Arabidopsis thaliana: one gene and its partners. The protein of the gene in region 3 interacts with the protein of the main gene of each other region in a pairwise test. Each region holds a gene or a part of one and is shown on either strand. Other genes may lie near its edges.

Region 1 (9,849 bases), on a different chromosome or scaffold from region 3:
CACTCGTTCACAACCCTTACCCAAGTACTTGTCCATCCCACGTCAATCGTCCACCTGAACGCAAAATAACAAAGAAAAATTGTATGAGTTAAAAATCTCAAGCTTCAAAATGAGACTACAAAAGTCTCACAAAAGCTAGCTCACAAAAGATTGTTGAAAAAAATATTACTTTTTCATGGGATGATGAGTGTTCCAACCGATGAGTAGCATAGCGAAGTACATTGCTCCTGTGGCAAACACAAAATGAAAGAATCCATAGCCATATGGAACATCATCTTCAGCTTCTTCTTCTTGATCGTTCTCATCTTTCTTAAATTGGAAACATTGGGAGTCTATTCCTGTCGAAAATGTCGCGATAACCATCGCAAGTAGCGCAACCACAAAGCTCTGCACAATGTTATTCAAAATCAGCATATTACTTTTGCATAAAACAGAAGCAAAGGAATGTTGAGAGGTTAAGAGAGTTTACAATGATGGTAAGCCAGTCTGTTCTGTTTGAAGCTGCTGCTTTTCTATTACAACTTTCGCCCACTGGTTCACTGCACCAAATATTATTGGAGATGAATCAATTTACAATTATAAGTCTTCATCATAAAAGAAAACATTATAGCTCCACATTCACTACTAAGTTCAAGCTTCTTATGAGCATATATATATAAATCTTAGGAGATGCAGAAAATAACAAATACATTTAGGATGTTCATAAATATAATGAGATGTATCAGAATTTCCTTAGAAATTATATCAAACTTTTTTGGGAATTTTTTTATACTTTTTCAAAAGCTGAAACAATGAGATTTACTATAAGCCAAAGATAAATCTCTACAAAAACACTAGAAAATAACTAGATTATGTTAATAGGAACCTAAATATTTCAATTCGGTTCCTAATTTCCTAGGATCCTTAAACCAAGAAACCCGACCCAAAACCGACTTGGAACACATAATTCTAGAACCCTAAAAAAGAAACCCATAGACCAGTCATCACTCTTCCCCTTCGCTTGGAGCTTTCTCGCTAACGGAAGCTTAACTCTCCGTTGCTGCTGGTTTTTGAGGAGATGGAGGAATTGGGTTTGAGGTTGGTAGCTGTGTCTGCGTTTCCTTGAACCTGAAAATGTCGTTAACGACACAGAAGCCATTGTCTTGTTGAACCAGAAGAAACGTTTGTGTAAACTTGTACCTCACGTTATCTTTCTTCCTAGTCAAGTAACCATTGACAAAGACAATAACACGACCGTTCCCCATAGGATATGGAATACCAAGTGAAGTCTCGATCTCAGCCGTGTAATCTTCGTATCTCATAGCCAGAAACTCATCTTTCACTTCTTTCTTTGTCCAGAAAGCTTTCTTGACATGGGTTGCAGGATCACGCCGGTTAAACAGACAGGGTTCATTGTAGAAGATATGAAGATAGTGAGGTTCTTCGTTAAGAATGTAATAGTATTGCTTCACAAAGGTCTTGCTAACAATCTCTGCAGTAGTGTTGTTCTCTGACATATCTCCAGGGACAGAGAGATTTGACGATGGAAGCTTTGAAAACAGAAGTGGAAGATAATGAATGGTTCTTGGCCTATCTTCTCCACCATATATATAGTGGCTAAAGACTCCCAAAACCAACTATATTTCCTAATCCTACTTGACTAGTTCTACTACTAACTCCTAATTCCTAAACCATACTAACTTTAGAGAAGTTACCTAAACCACAAAATAAATTTAAAAATCTCTGTAGAGAATAACTTCAAAAAAATAATCAAATCCCCAAGTCAAAACTTAGGAAAAAAGAGAAATAAATGAAACAATGTTTTATTTATTTGATTTTCAAACTTTTTAACCAAGTGAAATTTTTTAATTTGAACAACTAACCGGCTCGGTCAACCAAACTATCAGTTTGTAGGTTAATTCTGTTTTTATCTGATTTAACCGGGTCAAATAATTTAGATTTTTAAGATCTAACCGGACCGGATTATCGGTTTTGAACTTTTTAAGACATTGAAAAAAAAAACAGAGATCAAGATTGAAAGGAAACATAAACATACCTTCGAATGGCACACCAGCATATAAACACAACATAGAGTCCCATAAGAGCTGGAGTCAAGTATCCAGCATTAACCTGTTGGTGTTGGCAAAAGCACAAACAAACCTTAATAACCTCAAACATCCAAAACACACATGACATGAAGTCATGAACATGAATAGTAATGGAAACAATAAAGACTTACTTTAGGATGGAGAGCGATGCTTGTCATGAGTTGGATGAGGAACAAAGTCCATGTTATAAAGAATATATTGAGAAGACATGAAGAATCAGGCGCGTACCAAATGTACATCAAAATCACTCCTACTATGCAAACTGTGTATGAAGTAGTTGATAGTAACATCACATAGACACGGCTACAAAACAGAATAGAGTATTGCTTACTTAGTATAAACTGAAATAAAAACTAAAAATATATTATGATTCGAATTTGAAAGAATCTAACCATCTTTCTGCATCTTTTTGGGACTGATAGCATTCGTTGAGCCATTGAATGAAACTGATCACACTAATTAGCTGTATTAAGAGAAATACCCTATAGAGAAAAAAACAACAATATAAGATTTGGGATTTTTCACATCATATATACATTGTGAAGTTGGACTAGTCAATCAAAGTCTTACCCTGCACCAAAATGGGCAATCTCTCCTGCAAAATCAAACCAAAGAAAAAAGACGTATGGTTAAAGCAGGCCACATGATTATTAGAGGAAGACTACTTTCATGGAAGACTAACCGTAAAGGTGAATAATGGAAGAAGGAAGCAAGAAGGGAATGATGGTTAAGGCAGGCCACATGATGAGCTTAACAAACCACCATCCAGAATGCCATCTATCTCTTGATGAATGCGTTTTCGACGTACCAAGTGTTGAAAGAAACATAACAAAGTAGAACAACTGAGGATATAACGGTTAAGCTCAAAACATTTTCTGATTTAGTGACTCAAAAAATCATATAAAGTTGTAATAACAACTGAATCAAGAAAGGATACAAAACATCCCAAGCTAACTCTTAAGACACCGTCGGTCCCCAAACAGTTTTCGCCACCTTTACAGTTCTTGAATCCTGCAATATGATCAAACTTATAAGACAACGAATTACTTAGTTATACTTAAAACATGATTCTAATGGCACATACTTGTCACTTTTCTTAAGGCACCCCGACCATAATCACGAGCAGCCCAAGCTAGTAGATTCGCAATGAGGAATATCAGACCGTATACATATCTAGCCATCCAGGGATTGCAGCCGTTGCGGAACTGATTAAACCATGATCCATTCTTGATTGCTTCATAGCTATCGTTTCTGATGCTTTGGTTGTTGTTGCTAACGCTTGTACCGGTCTCCATTACTCCTTAAAGTTACCAAGACTCTCTCCTCTTCATGTCATTAGAAGATCAAGAAATTCAAGAAACAGATCACTCATTCCATGGGAGGATTTTGCATCAGAAATCAGTTTCTTAGATGAAAGAATCGTCAATAACGAAAAACGCAAAACAGGAGCAACAAATTCCTGTCCCTGTCCCTGTCAGAGATTTCTCGTCCTTCAGATCAAAACCTGTGGAAATAAACAATGAGAATTCAAAAAATGAAAAACAGAGTCGGCAAGAACAGAACAAGAAGACAAAAGAATGAAGCAAAGGATAAGAATCTGATTCCGTTATCAAAACAAAGAGAAGAGCACATACAAATCAATTCAGAAACGGTGGAGATTACAATTGGTAGATTTTGAAGTGAACAAAATTCATGTTTTACATGAGAAACATCTTTAGTCTATTCTCAAAAAACCACACAGAATCCGTTTCTCAACAGAAAGCATCTCGTTTCGTTTCTGTTTCAGCCGAACATAAACAGAGAATACGTATAGTGCAAGTAACCTTTATCTTCTTTTTAACCTAAACTAAAAAAGCAAATCTTTATAAGTGTCAACGAGAATCCACAATAGATGGCTCATTTTAATCCAAGATTTGCAACTTTAAACCTTAACCATATGAATGATAAAGACTAAAAGACAAAAACATACCAAACTTAAAAAGCAAGACAGTCAAGATTCTTAAGAATTAAAACTCTCAAAGTCAAGATTTGGCAGGAACTACTCATAAATACTAATCCAAAAAAGCAAGAGCCTTTTTGTGTTGTAACTATAATTACCCTAATGATAATGGAGAGGCGTGGATAAACAAAGAAGCACCCAAAAAAACTTTATTTGACAAGGAAACAAAAGGTTAAGAGATCAAAAGAGAAAACGAACAAAAAAAGAGTCAGATCATATAAAGATAAAAGAGTTTATGCAATTTGTCACAAAATTTGGAATTGAAAAAGAAACGTGTTGGTACGGATACAATTGGGCAGACGAATCTTACGAATATGAATGGGTAATGTTAAGCAGCAACATTAGATGCGCTTTTCTAGGGTTTTATTGGTCCACTTAATAGAGTGGAGACACATACCTCCACTTAGACGAATTGAAGAGAGTGGGATAATGGAAAGACTATATTCACAAAAGATCTTATAAAGAAAACGTCATCTACAATATTGACATTAACATATACATTATAAATATTCAAATTTCTTTTATCTCTAAAGTATCTTCAATATTTTCTTATATTGAGTTTCATACTTTATTTACTTTCCATAATAGTCTAATCTTGAACTTCCAAGGCCCAAGAACAGAAAAAAAAAAAAAAAAAAAAAAAAAAAAAAAAAAAAAACTTGACCATAAACCCGTAGGCTAGAACATATCACATATGGCAAGTAAGGGCTATAGTTTTAGTCTTTAGAGGTTAGAAAATTATGGATTTCGTGGGTTAGAGTAACCAACCATCACAAACGGCGATGCAAACGGATCAGATCCGTGCGTATAATAGTAATTCAGCCGCATACATAATGTTTAAATTACATAAATTAATGTGAGTTTTTTAAATCTAGATTTTTATGATTTTTAATATTTAGTTGGTAAATAATTTTTATTTGTATTAAATATAATCCACTGAATTTATATTTTAATATGTATGAAACAAGGTTTAAAATGTTTTTTTTTGTCTTTCAGAAAAGAGTTAACAAGAGAAAATCAATAGCTCGCTTTAAAACCTTTCCATAAAATTTAGGGATATAGGAAGTAAAACTGTGTAGATCTAGTGATCATTCTCACGTTCCACGTTCGTATATATAGACTAATAATTATGATTTGGGAGTAATGAGTTCATGGCCTTGCCATTATGAATTACAAATATACAAATATGAAAAATAGAGAGAATAATGGTAAATTTGACCCTAAGATAGAGGTAGCATGTGAAGATGTGAAGTATTGGAATTTGTAGCCTAGGTAGTAGATCAGAATGTTTAGATTCTCAGAAATAAGAATTGGTCTATCGTATCATATCTCATAACGCTCTAAACTAAAGTAATGAGTATATAGTATTATTTAACACACTATAGGTAGGCCATGATGTATATGGACCTCTTCAAATCTTTCGTGCCAAAAAGACAACTCTTGATACCAAAAACTTACTTTGACGATTAAAATCGTTTTTATTTACCTAAATTGGATAACAAACCGGAAATAACCGACACCTAAACCAATCTTGCACAACTAGATGACTAGTAAACCATAATACCAAAGAGTCATGCATACATTGGTTGTTGTTGTTTTTTTAATTGTTTTCTAAATTGAGTGTGTTTTCATTGACTCCACACAATCAAATGGACAGCCAATAGACGTTGAAATTTTTGTATGTGTGTGTTCTCTTTTGACTCAGTGAAGAGAAAATTAGTTGAGTTTAGCCGCAGAAATTGAGTTAGATTGCAAAAGAAGGAAAAACAAACGTAAAGCGATACTAAATTGTTTAAATTACATATGTTTTAAAAGAAACAATACTAAATGACTAACGCAAAACCTTAGTTTCTTAACAACTTAACTTTGACAAAAAAAGGGTCAAAAACAAAACGTAAAACAATTGTAAATTATGTTTTTAAAGGAAACAACACTAAATTTTGACTAACTCAAAACGATAACTTCCTAGCGACTCTTTAAACTTTGACAAAAAGGTCAAAATCTGTCAATAGCTAAGCTCCTCATGTGTTTTTTCGTCATACACATTTATAACTAAACATGAATTATGAAATCAATAATTATGTTGATTTTTCACGGCTAATCTTGTTGGCAAAGTGAGATAATTAGCAGAAAGAAAAGAGGCTGAAAAAGAAAAAAGTGATGAACTAAGGGTCCCATGATGTTCCACAACTTTGGAAAATGTTAAAACTAAAATTTTGACAAGTGGCTCCGACCAATATTCCGGTGGTCTTCCCGGCGACGGGAAGAACAAGCAAAAATATTACATCACTAATTTTTCACCCGGAGCTAAGTTTCGTTTTCCCGAGATACATTCATAATTCATAACTAGCACACGCAACACGAACATGTTTTAAAATCTCAGAGATCGTAAAAAAAAGACAAGAACAAATAAGAGAAAAGAAAGAGAAAGAACCTGTGATTTTTCGTGTCTTGAATATATGAAGCGAGATTGGATCTAGAGATGTAGAGAATGTTGAGTGTTGTTACCTCCACAAGCTTCTTCTAAATGTGAAACCAAAGAAGAAGAAGAAGAAGATAAGAAGGACAAAAAAAAATCTGAGAGAAATGTGAAAACGAAAAAAGAATCGGTTTCAGGTTTTATGATCAGAGCTTTTGCTTTTAGAAAACAGTTGTTTATATACTTATATATACAAAATCTAGAGATAACATATAAAGCTTAGTTTTTTGTGAATATCTTTTTTTCTATGTAAGTTATATTTTATTTCTCCTGCTGTTAGCTTCCTATTTCCGCTACATCCCCTCGTATTATTCTTTAATAAGAAAAATAAAAAAATCTACAATTCTCTTTTTATAACCACAATATTTGATAATTTATCAAACAAAGTAATTCATAATTTTAAAATAATATAATATTTCTTATTTTGACTAGAAAAAAATACTAAATATAATCATGACAACTATATTGCCAATATACAAGAAAGAAATTAAGGAAAATATTATTACAAATACACACACCTCTGTTTTTATGGATAAACATGCCAATTAGACTTTAATAGTTATGGTATTAAATTTTTTACTAGGCAATTAATTTACCACAAATCACTAATTTTAGTGCTGACTTTAAATTTGTACTTAATGATTATATTATAAGTGAACGTGCTTGTTCTTATGATCATTTATTGTCTTATATCTAGATGTATTTTTTCTTAATTATTACTCCCAATCTCCCACCGTTTATAAAAACAAATGACTATAGGATTTATAATCCACTAAGATCGAAACCCACGCTATGATGTGGATATTTGTTTTACAAAATTTACAGATATCAGAAAGAACATATATTTAAATTGCAGTTATAAATCTCAAAGAAATGAAAATATTACCTGTCGATTCAAACATTTTAACCTTAGAAGCATAACAATCTAAAAATCAAGTATATGTTTCCTACTCTAAAATCAAAAATACAAAAGAGTGAGTGAGTAACCGTCTCAAACGTCAAAAACAAATTGTGCCTTGCATAAATGAGAAGTTCAAAACAATAGAATAGAATTAGTGACGCTTTGTAATCAAACGCTCATTACATTAATCAAGTAAGACAAACAACAATAACTACAAAAGCCAATGGTGCATATGAGTTTGTTTCCTTCGTTGGGTCAAACAGTTGTATGTATACACAATGAAACCATCTTTTGCTTTTTGGTTATAATCATCACAACCCATTTGCTAATTTTTTCCTCAAATCTTTCCTCAAACATTTTCAAATATGATGGAGCTTTAAGAATTGACAAATGAAAAACACTTTGTATGTAAAAAACCTCTGATCAACATAACTTTAAATCAATGACCATAACTACTAATCAAGTTTTATTTTTTGCATCATTCACCATAAGTTTACAAATTTATATTCATACACTAACTAAATAATATATTTCTTTAATATATACACAATTTTTTGCTCACTGAACAATACATGAACTATCATATTCTATTAAAAACAAAAACAAAAAACATTAACAAGAAAAACCAAATAGTATAGACATCCTCTCTAATACTCACAAATCCTAAAATTTTGACATTCGTAGCACAAAATTTTTATTGTTATGAACAAGCAACAAAAAAGTTTTAGATAACTCGATATTGCTCTCCTCTTTCACAATCATTCCTAATCATTTATACGGAATTGTAAATAGCAAACCCATAAATTAATGGTTTGGTAGAGAACCATTAGATTAGTTTTAGCAAAAAAATGATCTAAACATTGATGTGAAAAATGTTGATAACAATATTGGATTTACAAAAAAAATATTAGTTTGGTGATTATAACTTCTCACCATTTTGCCGCGTTAATTTGATTAGTATAAATAAAATAATTACATGAAAATTAGTATATTGATTAAAGGTACATACTTACATGATATATTATTTTCCACAAATAAGAAATACATATATATTATTTTGCATATTTATTAAATTTCAGTTATCACATAGAAACCAGAATAATCCATCGCAGTAGCTTCGAGGCACGATATATTTCTCATCTTTGTTTTCATTGCAAAGTTTTGTGCAAGCAGTCTCACATAATGGAAGAGTTGCCTTTTGAGAAACTTTCATGCATTGATTCGGGATACAGTGTTTAACACACACTTCCATCGTACTCGCGTATGTTGAAACAATCATCGTAAATAAAACTACAATCATCAAAACACTGTATATCTTTTTTGTTGTTTGAGTTGCCATTATTTGAAAAGATGCGTTTCTGAGTGTTCAAACTTATTAAATTTTGCTTAGGTTATATAGCAATACAAAATTGTAAAGGATGAATATTGTTGAGTTGGGTGTCTATAGTTATTTACTTTATATAGCAAAAAATAGTTTTGACCTCTTGAAATTATTTATTTTGGAAGTATATCCGTTTGTTTTTTTGGTTGATAGGTTAGTTTTTTTGTTTATGTTATTGGTTGTCCAAACAATTTATCGTTCCAATTTTTTGTTGTCAAGAAACCTATAAATATATTATTCTCGTTCCAAATTTTTGTTATTTACAAATATATCTTTCTTGAGATTCGATAATTAGTTTCTAAAGAATCGATTATATTGTTAATGTTTCTGATTGACGGTTTGGTTCATAATTTTTTTTTTAAACCATACTTAATTTATTTTATTTTTCATGACTTCAGTTTTTTTTTACTATTATATGACTTCAGTTACTATTATATGATTTTTCAGCTGATGAAATTATAGGCCTTGATTAGTGAACAATAGCTAGAAGAGCAATAGAAATAAGAACAAAATGAACATGAAAGAAATGAATTATAAAAAATGAAAGAAACTAATTTAAAATTTTTGAAAATGAAGTTGAAGATATGGAATTCGAACAAATAACCAAGATAATCAAACTTTTATATAATTGTCGACTTTTAACATATGTATCATGAACATAATGCTATCATGTATTCCAATGACCCTGATATTGATGCCTTAACGAATTAGAAACGCTCGGGACTCGTACTTTCTTGACAAATGAAGCTGAGAAACGTGAACGTTCTCAGTTGGCATCTTATAAGCATCTATTAATTATCACTTCAAAAGAAAAATTAGCTAGTAACACACTTGGTAAATCATTGTTTCTTACATCGAGCTTTTGGTTGGAAAGGACACTGGAATTAGCGCACCCTGATCGAAACTTAATTACAATATAACAAAACCAATAACATTATATACATTTGAACTGGATATGTGAGGGTAAAACCAATAACATTTAATAATCTGAAAAATACTCAA
Region 2 (7,849 bases), on a different chromosome or scaffold from region 3:
TAGCACACGAACCACAAATACCTTCACGGCAAGAGCGACGGAAAGTGAGCGATGGATCCATCTCGTTCTTAATCTTAATCAAAGCATCTAGAACCATTGGACCACAATCCTTGAGATCGATTTTGTAATCTTGAAGCTCTGGCTTTCCAGGATTATCTGGATTCCATCGATAGATCTGAAACGTCTTCAGACTCGCTCCTCCGCCGCCGGTTGAAGCTTTCGATTGTGCTTCTGATCCTGTTGATGTCCATCGCGCCGGAATCAATCGCGCCGCCGTGGATAATCGTGATGATTTGGTTCCAACAACTCTTCCGATCAAACCAAACGCCATTTTCTCGGAGAAGAGAGCAAATGAAATGAAATTGTTTTTTTAATAGTCTATTAAAAATGATTAATTTGTTAATAACCTGTAATTATTAATTAATTATTATGTAAAAATGTATGTATACGTATTTGTAGATGTGAGGCTTAGCTTCGTCTACGTAATAACGACCGTTGATTAAAAAACTTGGAAAATCGTGACCGTTTATAAATACCGGCTTATAGGTTAATCACAGAGATTAATGGATAAGTTCTGAAATGCGCGTGTTCGCCTCGAGAAGTGTGTAGATCACGTGGCGAGTTTTGATACGATGAAGTTCACTCGAAAACAAAAGACGGTACGAGAAAAAGCGTTCCGTTTCGCTACAAAAGATTGGTGTTTTCTGTTTTCAAGTTTCAACAATAATTAAAACGTTAACCTATATTTAAACTTTCAGAAAACGCTAATCTGTTCTCAAATTCTAATTCTTTAAACGTAATCAAATTCTTTTAAGAAAACAAAAACTAAAAGAGAAGACAAACAAGTTTTCTTGTTGTTTGAAGAAAGATCATCTCATGTTCTGTTTGCATCTTTTACACAATCTTTGAATGGCATCGGTAAGATCTTTCTCATTTCTTTCTCATTTGTTTCACAAATTTGATACAAAAAATAGCATTTTCATGTGTGTTTTCGTTGGATTATAATAGAAATCAAACATTTTTGTGATTGGAAACTTTCAGAATAATCAACAACGACAACAACAAGATCGACCATTACCAAAATTTGGAGAATGGGACGTGAACGATCCAGCATCAGCCGAAGGATTTACGGTTATATTCGCTAAAGCTCGAGACGACAAAAAGACAAACGCAAGTGGTCGTGCCGCCTCACAACGCCGTGACAATAACAAATCTCAAGATGAACCTACGGTAACATTTCTAATCCCAATTGCTCAAGATTTTATGACTAACGAAAACATCAGCCTATGTTTGTTATGTTTTAGATCAAATGAGGTCTAAAGTGAAAGAAAAACTAAAAGCTTGCTATTTCTATTGCAGAAGAAACGGTTCTGCTGTTTCTGAGAAACAACACATCATCAAGCAAAAGCTGAATGTAAAACATTTGTTAGATAAATGAAACAGTTTCATATTCACTTGGAATCTGTATAAATTTATCATTACAGAGCTAAAAGCAGACGAAGTTTCGGTCTAATTCTGGTCGCATAACATTTACTTACACAATATCAATGTCTCTTAACCCTCTGTTTGGTGAATCTTGATCTGACCCATTGCTACTTGTCTTTTTCTTGAACGATTTTTGGCTGAAAATCCGAGACACCGTTTTCCCGGGACGTGGAACTGATCTCGAACCGCCTTCAAAACGGTTATGTTTATTGTCTAGATCATTTGATAGTTTCTTGACTAGTTCCACAAAATGTCTTCTGAATGTTGGATATCTTGATACTGATTTGGTTAATCCTTGAAGCCTAACCAAAACCAAAAACACATCTTAGAATCCGAAGTAGAAAGCCGTAACAAGATTGTGTGTGTTTTTTTTTTTGCCTTTTTTACCTGCGAGCAAAGGCATCAAGTTCGGCTTTTCTGAGTTCAGTTAGAGGAGGAGATTCAGATTCAACAATGGAGCTTTTAAGTCTCTCTGAATCTCCAAAGAGTAATACCAATTTACCAAGATACTCTTCTTCTTCCTCGGATAGGTTTGCAGCTTCGATCTGGTCTTTAAGGATCAAAAACGGATTCAGAAACCAATCAAAAAACGCATCTTTTGGGCGGTTTCTGGTAGTTATCTCCGTTACACCGTCACCTAAACAAAAACACAGAAACGGTTTTGTTTGTTTCTTGATGATGTTCAAATAGTTACTAGATAATGCGGTTATGAAAATTGACAGAAAACTGTTGAAACATACCGAGTAATAAACCGGTGGAGTTAGATTTGATAGAGCGTAAAAGCTCGTGAAGAAGAGAATAAGCAGGTAAGCCAAAGCTGATCACTTGACTGCCTTTGCTAGATTTAGCTTCTTCAATGTCTTTTGAATTTATAATCCCTTTCGTTACCATAATCTCTCCGTGCCGCCTACATTCCACAAATAGAGCCTCCAAAAGCTGCAAAGATCAAAAGAATAGGCTTCAGGTTTAAATACAAAGATAACCAAAAGAAGAGTGTGACTAGTGAGTACATCAAGCGGTTTCAGGTCAATCATTGGGCCTTTGTTTGATCCTCCTCTTGATGGAGTTGTCTTGAAGGAGTTCGGTCTTGAAAGACCACCAGAAAATGCCGTACTAGCGCCCTCTTCGTTTCTTCGATATATTGGCCTGTTACAAAACCATAAAACCACTGTTTTAGAATGAAAAGAAAGAGAGAGAGGTAAAGATTGCTAGATAAGCCAATGGAGACAAACCTGGGAAAGCAAGAACCTTCAGGCATATCAAGAACATCGTTGCTATACTCATCGTAAATAGAAACAGAAGCAACAACATAGCAGAGACCGAAGAAGAACGATGACTCCTGTGTTATGACAAGAGAAACCAATTCAGTATCATCAGCATTCACATTTTCCTCAAAAAAAAAAGTCATTGTTTAATAACCTGATATGAGACTACACCGCCATAAGCACCAAGGAAGACACTAGAGACCACGGATCCTAAAACTGCTCCAACAACAGCTAAAGGCCAGAGTAAGATCACAAGGCCAGCGATTGGGACACACATTGTTTCCAAGAAAGGACCTTCACGTCCAATGAGATCATGAAACAAACGGTGCCACCCTTTGAACAACATGTACGGGCTTTTACACAATGCTAAGAGTGAAATCACTGGGAAATCAACAAGAATTCCGAGAACCGCAACAATCACAGCACCTGGAATTTGAAGTAACCTGAGAAATATAAGTGAAAACTGTAAGAAAGCACTGTTAAGTAATCAATACACACAATTTACTGAAATTTTCTGAAGACCTTATTTCATAATAGTGACGGTTCGCAGTAGATGTTCGAAGATCATCCATAAAAGAAAAGTAGGAGTGAAAGCAAACATCTTTAAAATCACAAACAACGGTGAAACTGCCTTGAACAGTGCTCCAAGTTCCATCCTAAATTGTGAAAGCAGACAATGTAGGTGTTGAGGTCTAATCTTCAATAACATAAAGAACGAGACATGGAGAAAAAGAGACTTACATAAAAGCAATGGAAAAACGGATTAGACTTCCCTTCACCAACAGCATCGAAAGTAGCAAATATTGGAGAAAGAAATCCATAAATAGCTCCTCCAAGAACACTTCCTAAGATACTAACCACAAGCCAGAGAATGACACCAAGAGGAACGCATAAACACAGAAAGATCTTCAGGATTGGTCCTAACTGTTTAGCACTGATTTCAAACAAAAACACTTCAACAACATCGAAAGAGATAACAATGGTATTATTATAGAGGGCAGAGATTGTTTCAGAAAGAAGTAAGTACCTCGCTATCGAATATAGAGTCCAAATCGCGTGTACTGGTAAAAGGCCTAAGATGATTGCAGAGTTTCCAATAGCCACAGTAAGGCATATAAGCGGGCATAAAACGATACCTAAGCAAACAAAAAAGAAGTAAAGAAACGTTCACAACAATTCATTCCCACAAAACTTGTCAACAAGACTAGTAAAAGAACTCACGGATTTGGCCTTTGGGGCTTGCTTCAATTAAAAAAAGAGAACTTTATAGTACTGAAGAAACTAATTTCATACCAAATTCACTAACTTCGGAAGCACTTGATGAATGTTATGTACCAATTAATCACTCTTAGATAAATCCTAAGCCACTAAACTAGTGAGCAAGATCTCTAAAACAGAACAACGTTCACGGATTAGGTGTTTACTTCAATTAAAAAAAGGGAACTTTATGGCATTGAAGATCGCTAAATTGGTTAGAAATGCTAATTTCAGTAACTGTTGAAGCAAATTGATGAATAAATGAAACAACCCTAATGGAGGCCTACACAAATCAAGTAAGCCAATCTCATGTCAACATCATCGAACTCAAGTCTGAAATTTGTTACCTTTAATGACACCGAGAAGCAGTAAACCAGTGAAATAAGGAATGAAGAGTATAAATTGCCACAGAGAAGCCAAGATTCCCGTTGGAGGCTCCATTAGAACAATCTCTTTCTCTTTTGCTCTCTTCAAATTCAACAAAGACCCATCAGTCAAAATGTCGCATTTAGAACAACCCTAGAATCAAAATGAAACCCTTTGAAAAGAAAAGGTAAAGCAGAGATTTTTATGAGGAAGAGAGAAAGAGAGAGAGAAATTCAAACTGTGACGGACACGACAAGAAGCAGAACAAGTTTTCTTCTTTTTTTTTAATATTTAAAATTTCAATTTTGAACAGCAAACAACACGAAAGATTCGAGAGAGAGAGAGAGAAGAATATGTCACACACACATTAGATTTGACGGTTAAGAAACCGTCTATAAACCCTAAACCAAAAAATACATTTAAAACTGAATAAATTAAGAGTATATTTTTTAATTTACATATTATTTCAATTTCGTGTGCTGCTAAATAAATCGGGTGTGTTTCTTGGTGATCGGTTTTTGTGCTGCTGTTTAACGCATGGGCCAACACATCCTCCTCCTCGTATTGAGAAGAGAAGCACGAGATAAAGGAATTGGAGAAAACGACATGAACCGAACATTTTTAGTGTTTCTTTTTTTCTAACGTCGACACTAAGCGACAGTTAAAGAATCACATTATCATTATCTTATTGTTTATTACATTTAAGTATATATTAAAAGAGAGGTTTTTTTTTTATGTGGCAGTTGGCAAACCCATTATTTTCTACTTTATTTTCTAAAAGCTATTGCCACCTTTGCTAAACACATAATTTTCATTTTTAAAATGAACTTTATATGAAACATCACTATATATTAAATGGTATCATTGGAAAATATTACAATAAATCTGTTTATAAAATTTAATAGTATAAGATTTATAATTATTTATAAAAGTAAATATTATATACAAAAATAAATAATATAAGTGATAAGACTAATAATCTATGGCTCTATGCATTCTAACCTAATCGGAAGTAAAGAAGGGAAAAAGAAATATAAAAGCAATCAAAAGCGAAGACAGGTGCTCCCTCTTCTATGGTTTCTGAATTACTCCATTTGTTCTTTTTTGTTTGATTGTTTAGAAAAAACATACATATTAAAAAAATATATTAAATATTGATTATAAATATATTATTTTTAGTGTTTTACAGTTTTCTATACCTCTAAACCAATGATAATTAACTATTTTTCTTGAAAATTACAATTCACCAATACTAACCAATAAATATTACATGGAAAACTTAAAAAATCAATCTTTTAGAAACAATTTTTTTTTATAAACAATCAAACAAAAAAGAACAGATGGAGTATTATTTTTTCTTGAAACAAAAACATAATTTGAAATTGGATTAACTGGTAGACCATGGTTCAACTTGGTACGACTGGTCAAACAAAGTTTAGTATTTTTTATATATTTTTTAATTAAAATTGTTTAACCCCTCCAGCTCATCAAAAATCACTTTGTTTGAAATCATACATGAGGAGTGTGATGGACCTATAATAATACAAGTGTATAAATGATTTGTTAATTTTACTTATAATCAATTAGTTTTAAGTAGAAGCATATAAAACTTAACATGGTATCATGAATGTTGTTATAAAATTATTTGTCTTATAAGTCCAACATATAAAACTCGATTGACTTGAAGGTTTTTGTATAAGATTTTTTTTTTTTTGAATAATATAATATAATTTGATTTTTTGAAGGTTATAGGATAAGATTATTTGTCTTATAATCTAATTAAAATATATATAATAAGAAAAACGATTATTAACAATTGTTTATTTTAAATGTAATAAACAACATATGAGACACGCTTTTAAAATGGGAATAAATATATTATTAAAGTCATTAAAAAGGAAAAATACATATGAAGAATTTGAAATTGAGAAATGAAAATTAATTAAATAAAAACAAAAGAACTGAAAAAATTTACATATATAATATCATAGTTTTCAACTTTTAACTTTTGTTTCTTGTTGAAATCAACTTGTCATAAATTACATAGACAAGCAGAAATGATATAGTTTACGAAAAAAAAAATTATAAAGACAAAGTAAACTTAACTCTCAAATATAAAAGTCCGACCAAATTGATGGAGAAAGCCGGCCAAAGTCTTCAAATTTCGACGGCATCACGATCAACTCATGATTCTCCAAGATACGAAGCCCATATGAAATGTGTCTAAGTTATAATAAAATTTCAGACTCTTTTGGACGGCCTAGTGTACTTTAGACATTGGCCCAATCAGTACGGAACAAAAACTTGAAGACAACAAACTTCAAATCAAACTTATATATAATTTGTTGAAACATTACCATGAACTGGTAGCGAGAGAAGATTGGGCCTATGTCTAAACTTATAATTTGTTGAAACTTCAAACTACTACGCCGACTAGTCACTATCTAATAGAAACATTACCATGAACTGGTATAGCGAGAAAAGAGCAAGATCACATGAGCAAATTTTTTGGAAATTGTCCGAGAATCAACCTTGTGTTCCAAACGATATTTAATAGAATACATTCAAAGTTATTTGTGCAATGAGAAATAGCTTATGTTGTGTACTCTTTATTTCCTATGCCATTGTTAAATTACTTAACGTGAGACCTCAGCTTATTTAATCAACTTTGTTTTAGTGTTAAGTGGTTGACATCGGACGTTAGTGTTCTATGTTTCATATTTGGAATTACTTTTGAGTATTTTTAGAGATTTTAATCTAATATCAACCATTCCAAGCAAATTTGATTTTTCGTGTGTTGACAAATAAAGAACCCACTAACTACTTGATAAGTTTTGATAACTTTATTTATATCTCTTTTACTTTTAATTTTTCCGCAGTTACAATTAAATTATAATAGACTAAACGATGCTATATGCTCACGACGACTTAAACAACTAAACAAGTACCAAATAATCTCTTTTACATATAAGCAGATTTTATTCTTTTACATACAATAGTTAGTCATGCATAACGTGCTTGCATTAGTAACTCTTGTACTCTGCTTAATATTTTTTGTGACCTATCGCGTGATTCGTATCTATTTCGAATCCCTTTTTCTATATTGTACGAGAAAACATTAACTTGAAGAAATTAAAGTACTCTTTAGACATCTTTAGAGTATGTTTTTATCCCGTCATAAGTTTTAGATTTTACGGTATGTTTTTATACATAATTAACAGAAGAATTATAGAATAATAATATTTGATTCTAGGAAATCGCATCAAATATATTGACATGCGTAGTGTATCTCTCGTCATATTTGTCTGTTGACCGGCAGACTTTTAGATTTCTATTTCTCTTTATTGCTTTCGTGAGGTTGAATCTCAAGCCCATTACGCTCCACAATTCCATGTTTTTATAACCTAAAGAATGCAAAAGACATATATACAAGTTCCATGTTTTTGTGGGTAACTATATTATCTATTTATCTTTAT
Region 3 (6,759 bases):
CAATCATATCACTGAGTAGTCGAGAAGCATCACTCCATCTTCCGTAATTACAAAGGCATCTTATGAGGGAGTTGTAGGTAACAACATTTGGTCTAATTCCTTTGTTATCCATTTCAGTGAACAGATTGAGTGCATCATTCACGTTTTTGTAGTTGCAAAGAGCATCAATGATAGTGTTGTAGATCACAACACCAGGCTCTATTTTCCCTTGTTCCATCTTCTTTAACAAACTCAAAGCCAAATCAATATCACCTCTCTTACATAATCCATTTACTACAATACCATAAGTAACCAGATCTGGTTGACAACCTTTCACAACCATCCGGTCAACTAAAGCCACTGCTTCTGAAGCTCTGTTGTGGCGAAAAAGTCCATGAATTAGAGTGTTGAATGTGAATGAATCGGGCTGATATCCCATTTCCACCATCTGACCAACAAGAGATACGGCATCTGAAATCCTATTCCCGTGACAGAAACCATTGAGCAGAGAGTTAAGCGTGACAATATCGGGCTCATAGCCGAGTTTCATCATCTTGGCAAGAACAGCTAAAGCAAGAGAGAGCTGAGAGCGTCGGCAGAAACAGTTGATGAGAATACTGTATGTGTAAAGATTATGTGAAATTCCCAAATTTTGCATCTGCTCGCCGAGAGAGATGACAAGATCGAACTTGTTCATCTTAGCAATGGCACTCAACAGTTTACTGAACTCAACAATCGAAGGGAAAGGACGAGACTTGACCATGTCACCGAACAGATTAACCGCATCATCTAGCTTCAAATCATTTAGCCTATTTATCGATATTTTTCTGTAATCATATCTAACACCAGAGAAATCTCGTACCCAGAAACTGCAATGGCTAAAGGAAGGAGGAGCAGTTCCACATTTACCTTTTCCGAGAAGACTCCGATGAACAAATCTGTTTCCCGTCGATGAAATCGCAAACAATCTCCTCATCTTCAGCTGATTGGGGTTTCTTCCAAAATCACTGATTCAGAATCGTAAACTCTCTGTAAACTTGTATAAACCCTAAATGATGAACCTTTTGCAGACAGAGAGAGTAAAGGTTTGAACTTTTGGTTCTACCAAACCAAACAGAGAGAGAGACTCACATAGGCTGAGAGAGTGAGAGTGATATTCATCCAGTTTCGCACCACCGTTGGATCATTTGACCGGTCAAGATTTCATCTTATCATTTTTATCACCGGTTTGGTTTATAATCACATAATGTATTTTTTTTTGGTTTAGTTCTAAATTGAAAGGCCAGCATTAGCAAATAAATATGAAAAAAACAAAGAAGATTATCAAGTTTTGCTATTTTGGTTCCATATTTGTCTAACTATATTTCCTTCATTTTTTTTTTTATTGCTGAGATGTCCCTTTCTAATTAAGGTGAAACCGCGTGGACCTTACCAATTTATATCTTGGATTGTAAAGATCTATATCTGTTTGGTTCCACTTGTATATGATACAATGATACAATACAAGTTTGGTCATTATCATTTTTTCTAATCATATGTCAACAAAACCAAAGTATGCATTCATTTTGCAAAATATACACATCTATTTGTATCACCTCCCAAACATTTCTCCCATTATACGGACTTGGACAAGTATTCATACCTCTGCAAAAGTCTTATTGATAAATGAATGTGAAAGTACATACAATTGGTTTAGAACATTAAACACGAGTTTGGTTTGGACACATGGCTTTCATATACTCCTTAGTGATAAATTATGGTTAATTATAACCATCTTTGAAGTTTATTCTAATATTTTATTTATTAATTTCATTGATATGGTTTCAAACGTCAAGGAATATTAAACCTTTTACGAAAAAATTTCGGGTGGATCATATAATATCTTCCCTTCAATCCTCAAAGTTCTCGAACTCTACCAATACCTACAAGGCTACAAAAATTTATACACCATTGAAATATGCTGCAACGAAGTCCATTTAAGGCCTGATGATAAATTCCTTGGAGATCGACAATAATATCCAAGCGATTGTTAGTGAGATTATAGAGTTAGTCTTTGTTGGATTCAATAGTTTGTTCCACAATGTAAAAGTCGACTATTCTAAAGAAGCCCTTGGCAACTTATTAAATCTTATAAATAGTTAAATATCGAGACCGTAGAACCTTTTGCTATATATAGTTTTTCGTCAGAAAAAAAAAGTCTTCATGCTAGAGAAAAAAAAGTTTAACTTATAAATACCATGCTATAATTAAAACAAAATAACACGTACTACAAATAGTACTAGCTTATATTTTCTCTCTTTTTTAATAATTAATTTTCTAAAAAAATACATATCTTAAGAAAATATTATTAAAATTAATTATGAATATATTATTTTTTGTGTTTTATATTTTTTTATAATTAAAAATCAATAATATTTAATTATTTATCTTGAAATTTGATATTCATCAATAATATCTAATTAATATTGCAAAAAAATCTAGAAATCCATCTTTTAAAAACACTTTTTTGTATAAAAAAAAATAAAAAAATAAAACCCTTTTTGTAAAAAATTCAATTAAGAAAAAATAAAAGGAGTATATGTTTTATCTTCTCTTTTTACTTTAACAAAATACCTTGTTTTTTTGTTGTTTTCAAGTTATATATTTTGTAATCTTGTCGCAGGTCTGAGTTGTTTTTTGCACTCAGAAAAGAAACTTGTACTAAAACCTAGGAGAGGAGGAGCTGGCACCACCGCCTAACTCGCCATTGACACAACACCAAAAACTCTTCTTTACTTTTTGTTATTCTACACACATCGATAAAGATTAAGAACATAATTAATAGAATTCCATAAATAATTAGATGCACTAACTTTTCAACATCAATTCAACGGTTTAAATTCGTGAAAAAGCGTTTTTATTTTATTTTAATGGTTACAACTTTGTAGTTTTTACCCTAAATCTCTCTCTGATTACTGATACTCTGTCTCAATCTCTTCTTTCTTCTAATCCTTTATTTCTTGTAAGCTACTTCTCCTGAATTTCGTATTTGATCCGTTTAATCCAAGTTTCGATTTTATATAACAACCACATAGACAGAGAGAGAGAGAGAGAGAAACAGAGTAATGGCGAACAGAGATGTGGAGAGAGTAGGGAAGAAAAACAGAGGAGCTAATAACAATTATTTCTACGAGGAGTCTTCTGGTGAAACTCATTGGACTTCATGGCTGATTCCGGCGATTGTAGTGGCAAATCTCGCTGTCTTTATCGCTGTTATGTTCGTTAATGATTGTCCTAAGAAAATCACCGGACCTAACAAAGAGTGTGTTGCTAGATTCCTCGGAAGATTCTCGTTTCAACCACTTAAAGAGAATCCTCTCTTTGGTCCTTCTTCTTCAACGTAAGTATTACTTTAAAGTTGGAGATTCATGTTTCATCTTCTGGGTATCTCCAAAGTCTCAAACTTTTTGGGAGTCCAATTCGCAATTGAATTTGATCACTATTGTCTGTTCTTATGGAAATTGAGCTCAAAGTTTTCATTTTTCTGCAGTAATTAAGATTACCCAATTAGTGCCTTACTGATAACGTCAATGAATTTGTAGTTGAAGCTCGAGATTCTAGAATTTGTTAATCTAAGTTACTGGCAAACAAGTTTGATCTTTTGGGTACCTAAAACGTCTCAATTTTTTTTGTTTTCAACAAACTGAAAAAGTCTCAATTTTTGTGTTTTCAACTTGGCAATTGAATTTGATCTTTATTGTCTGTTAGTGGCTTGGAACATGAGCTCAAACTTGTAGGGTTTCTCAAAGTTTTTATTTTTCTCCTGGAATTATGTATTTAGCTTGGTTTGGAATTATGATTTGTAAATTTCATTGGCAATTATTGTAGTGATGGTGTTTGTGATTGATTTGGTTTTACTCGGATATGTACTTGTATCAGATTGGAGAAAATGGGAGCATTGGAATGGAGGAAAGTAGTACATGAACATCAAGGATGGAGACTTCTCTCTTGTATGTGGCTTCACGCTGGTATCATTCATCTTCTTACAAACATGTTGAGTTTGATCTTCATTGGTATCCGCCTTGAGCAGCAATTTGGCTTCAGTAAGTCTTACCTTTACGTGTACAAGAATTATTGTTCAGTCAAGTTTTAGACTCTCTTTGTTTAATCGCCAAGTGAAACATTTGATCTTTATCGCGGGAATGTTACTGTGCAGTAAGAGTCGGGTTGATATACTTAATATCGGGTCTCGGTGGAAGCATACTTTCGTCGCTTTTCCTTCAAGAAAGTATCTCTGTTGGTGCTTCGGGTGCTCTCTTTGGACTTCTTGGAGCAATGTTATCTGAACTTCTTACCAATTGGACTATCTATGCCAACAAGGTACTTATGCCCTTTTCGCTATACGCGCCTTAACCGGAACTTAGGATTAACGGCTTCTTTTGGCAGGCGGCTGCTCTGATCACACTTCTGTTCATCATCGCAATCAACTTAGCATTAGGCATGCTTCCTCGGGTTGACAACTTTGCACACATTGGAGGGTTTTTAACCGGATTCTGCCTCGGGTTTGTCCTCCTTGTCCGACCTCAGTACGGTTGGGAAGCTTCCCGCACCAACACTTCGCGAACCAAACGAAAGTATAGCATGTACCAGTACGTGCTGTTTGTAGTTTCAGTGGTGCTACTTGTGGTTGGGCTAACGGTTGCATTAGTGATGCTTTTCAAAGGAGAGAATGGGAACAAACATTGCAAATGGTGTCATTACCTTAGCTGTTTCCCAACTTCTAAATGGACCTGCTAATCATCATCATCATCATCATAATCATATAGTAAAAGCTTTTATATGTGTTCTTGTTAACATTTAATCTCTTTGATCTCTCTAGCCTTTGATTATTTATATATGTGTACATTACCAAATTCGTCTTGTGTAAAAGGGGATAGAAATAAAAGAGTGTATTATTTTTACATTTGAACACCATATTTCTCAAACTGTCTTTAAGTACATAAATAGTAAACAATTTTATTAATGTAAAACATAAGCTGTAATTGGAAATAAATTCCTTTAATTTGGTTATAGTACACACTTTATAGTATCCATCTTAGGTCTTGTAGATTATTATTCTTCCTTTGCTTCAAATTCTTCTTTCTCTAGATCTCTTTCTTCTTGAGTTTAACATGATAGCCATTTGGAAATTGCAATCCAGGAGTTCGAAGTATATTTCCTCCACTAGTTTCTTCCCATCTGATGAAATCCAAGAAACAAAATTACAAAATCAAGAACCATTAGTTGTCTTAACTTAACAGATGAAAAAGGAGTAGTTTCAAACTGTATTTTGTGACTGAGCTATGAAGGAAAACTGCAGTTTGAAGTTTGAACTTTGCTGAAGTCAGCTCCGATACACAACCGCATTCCATCACCAAACGCCATGAAATTCCATCACCACACGCCATCAATACAATATATAATACCAAGATATGCAATCATGCATACATCAGCTTCATGCAATATATGCATAATTTTTAGGAGATTTCAGATGTCACAAGATCGAATTGAACATATATTTTCAACAGTGTGAAATACAGTTATACGGTTAGGGTCTGATTTTTGTTTTTGGTACCACGTGGGTTTTACAAGTTTTTATGATATTACAAATAAATTAATAATGCATCACACTTCATTTATTGTGAATGGGTGACTTTTAAGAAAACAATGACCAAACACCACCCAATAACCTTCCTGCACTGTGTCATTTAGGCCTTAATGGTGCAGTGGATAAGGATAAAGTACGGGACATAGACAATGCCTTTAATCATCCACCATTCACAAATGATAATACCTTGTATACATGCGATGTAACTTCAAATATAGGGATGATTGTGTGCTTTGCGGATCAAAACAAGAACTTTAAAACCTCTCGGTAAAAAGTACAAATTAATGGTTACTCTAAACGGAAAGGCACAGGAGATTTGTTATTTATATGATGTTCTCAAACAAAGAAAAGCTACTCACACAAATCACATGTTGCCAACTTTAAGCTAAAGACCCAACTCTTTTCTTTACGTGTAACAGAAAAGTGGCGCAATGACCTTCAATGGCTTAGCTCTTGACTTCTCGATGGTTTGAGTTTGATCTCTTCAGCGCCCTGTCATGGTTTAGCATTGCGCTTACGCTCTCAACCACGAAAACGATCTGTAAAGAAAAGCAGAAACCCGTATGCGGGTTTTAGTCAAGATAACCCAAAACTACAACATTCTTTGATCAATAACTGATGATCTCATCATCCTCTGCTTGATATCATCAAATTTTGTACTATATGAGTATCAACTCCCAACTACTGAATAGAATAATGAATTTTGAAATGGATCCAGGCCTATATTTTACCTGAAAGCACGCGTAGCCGATAGCGTTTCCAAAGTAGAAATTTGCATTTCCGGTTCCCTGTCATGAAAAAATCAAAGGTAGTTGTGATCATTAGAACATTTTGTTGCAACTGCTGTGAAGAGTTGGGTTATGGATTTGAGTAGAAGCTTACCCGCCATATCCAGAGATTGTGCATCACAGGGCTGAGGAGAGAGATCCCGAGATATCCACAGAAGAGGAAGAACGAGAACTTCATATCTATGTGAAACAGAAGCAGAGTTTATATGCAAAGGCTAAACAATGCTAAGAGGATGTGAAGTATTTGCTTTTACCTAATAACTCATTGACAAACAATGCCCATAAGCTCAAGTATAACGCCGAATCTCCGACCTATTGAGAGTAAATCAAATGATGAAAGCATTGTTAACATTTATGAATATAATT

What was found. Proteins that work in one complex are often made in the same cells at the same time.
Region 1: the proteins of RBL2 (region 3) and AT3G24460 interact in a protein complementation assay, tested with the Arabidopsis thaliana proteins (one large-scale study listed by BioGRID).
Region 2: the proteins of RBL2 (region 3) and AT5G40640 interact in a protein complementation assay, tested with the Arabidopsis thaliana proteins (one large-scale study listed by BioGRID).

The regions. Positions count from the first base shown.
Region 1 is NC_003074.8:8,886,336-8,896,184, forward strand, and holds the start of AT3G24460 (Serinc-domain containing serine and sphingolipid biosynthesis protein), read right to left. Parts: upstream 6,869-9,849; 5' UTR 6,521-6,868; intron 4,593-6,520; exon of another isoform or gene 3,722-4,592; intron 3,592-3,721; 5' UTR 3,383-3,591; coding exon 3,172-3,382; intron 3,099-3,171; coding exon 3,025-3,098; intron 2,930-3,024; coding exon 2,770-2,929; intron 2,683-2,769; coding exon 2,658-2,682; intron 2,570-2,657; coding exon 2,480-2,569; intron 2,391-2,479; coding exon 2,219-2,390; intron 2,110-2,218; coding exon 2,036-2,109; intron 2,030-2,035; exon of another isoform or gene 1,497-2,029; coding exon of another isoform or gene 1,180-1,496; intron 1,108-1,179; coding exon of another isoform or gene 1,026-1,107; exon of another isoform or gene 671-1,025; intron 540-670; coding exon 470-539; intron 388-469; coding exon 170-387; intron 55-169; coding exon 1-54. Other genes in the region: AT3G24463 (nuclear transport factor 2 family protein), read right to left, coding at 1,026-1,107, 1,180-1,496; AT3G24465 (Plant thionin family protein), read right to left, coding at 8,542-8,805.
Region 2 is NC_003076.8:16,273,944-16,281,792, reverse strand, and holds AT5G40640 (uncharacterized protein), read right to left. Parts: upstream 4,752-7,849; 5' UTR 4,449-4,751; coding exon 4,355-4,448; intron 3,887-4,354; coding exon 3,778-3,886; intron 3,685-3,777; coding exon 3,492-3,684; intron 3,407-3,491; coding exon 3,273-3,406; intron 3,194-3,272; coding exon 2,905-3,193; intron 2,825-2,904; coding exon 2,718-2,824; intron 2,632-2,717; coding exon 2,496-2,631; intron 2,422-2,495; coding exon 2,226-2,421; intron 2,123-2,225; coding exon 1,873-2,122; intron 1,788-1,872; coding exon 1,535-1,787; 3' UTR 1,384-1,534; downstream 1-1,383. Other genes in the region: SDH2-2 (succinate dehydrogenase 2-2), read right to left, coding at 1-331; AT5G40645 (RPM1-interacting protein 4 (RIN4) family protein), read left to right, coding at 910-918, 1,042-1,230, 1,360-1,383.
Region 3 is NC_003070.9:23,407,050-23,413,808, reverse strand, and holds RBL2 (RHOMBOID-like 2), read left to right. Parts: upstream 1-2,669; 5' UTR 2,670-3,083; coding exon 3,084-3,358; intron 3,359-3,897; coding exon 3,898-4,061; intron 4,062-4,174; coding exon 4,175-4,338; intron 4,339-4,404; coding exon 4,405-4,755; 3' UTR 4,756-5,005; downstream 5,006-6,759. Other genes in the region: AT1G63130 (Tetratricopeptide repeat (TPR)-like superfamily protein), read right to left, coding at 1-955; AT1G63110 (GPI transamidase subunit PIG-U), read right to left, coding at 6,052-6,144, 6,337-6,393, 6,488-6,573, 6,648-6,705. UniProt on the Arabidopsis thaliana protein: Rhomboid-type serine protease that catalyzes intramembrane proteolysis. Can cleave the Drosophila proteins Spitz and Keren. May function in pollen elongation.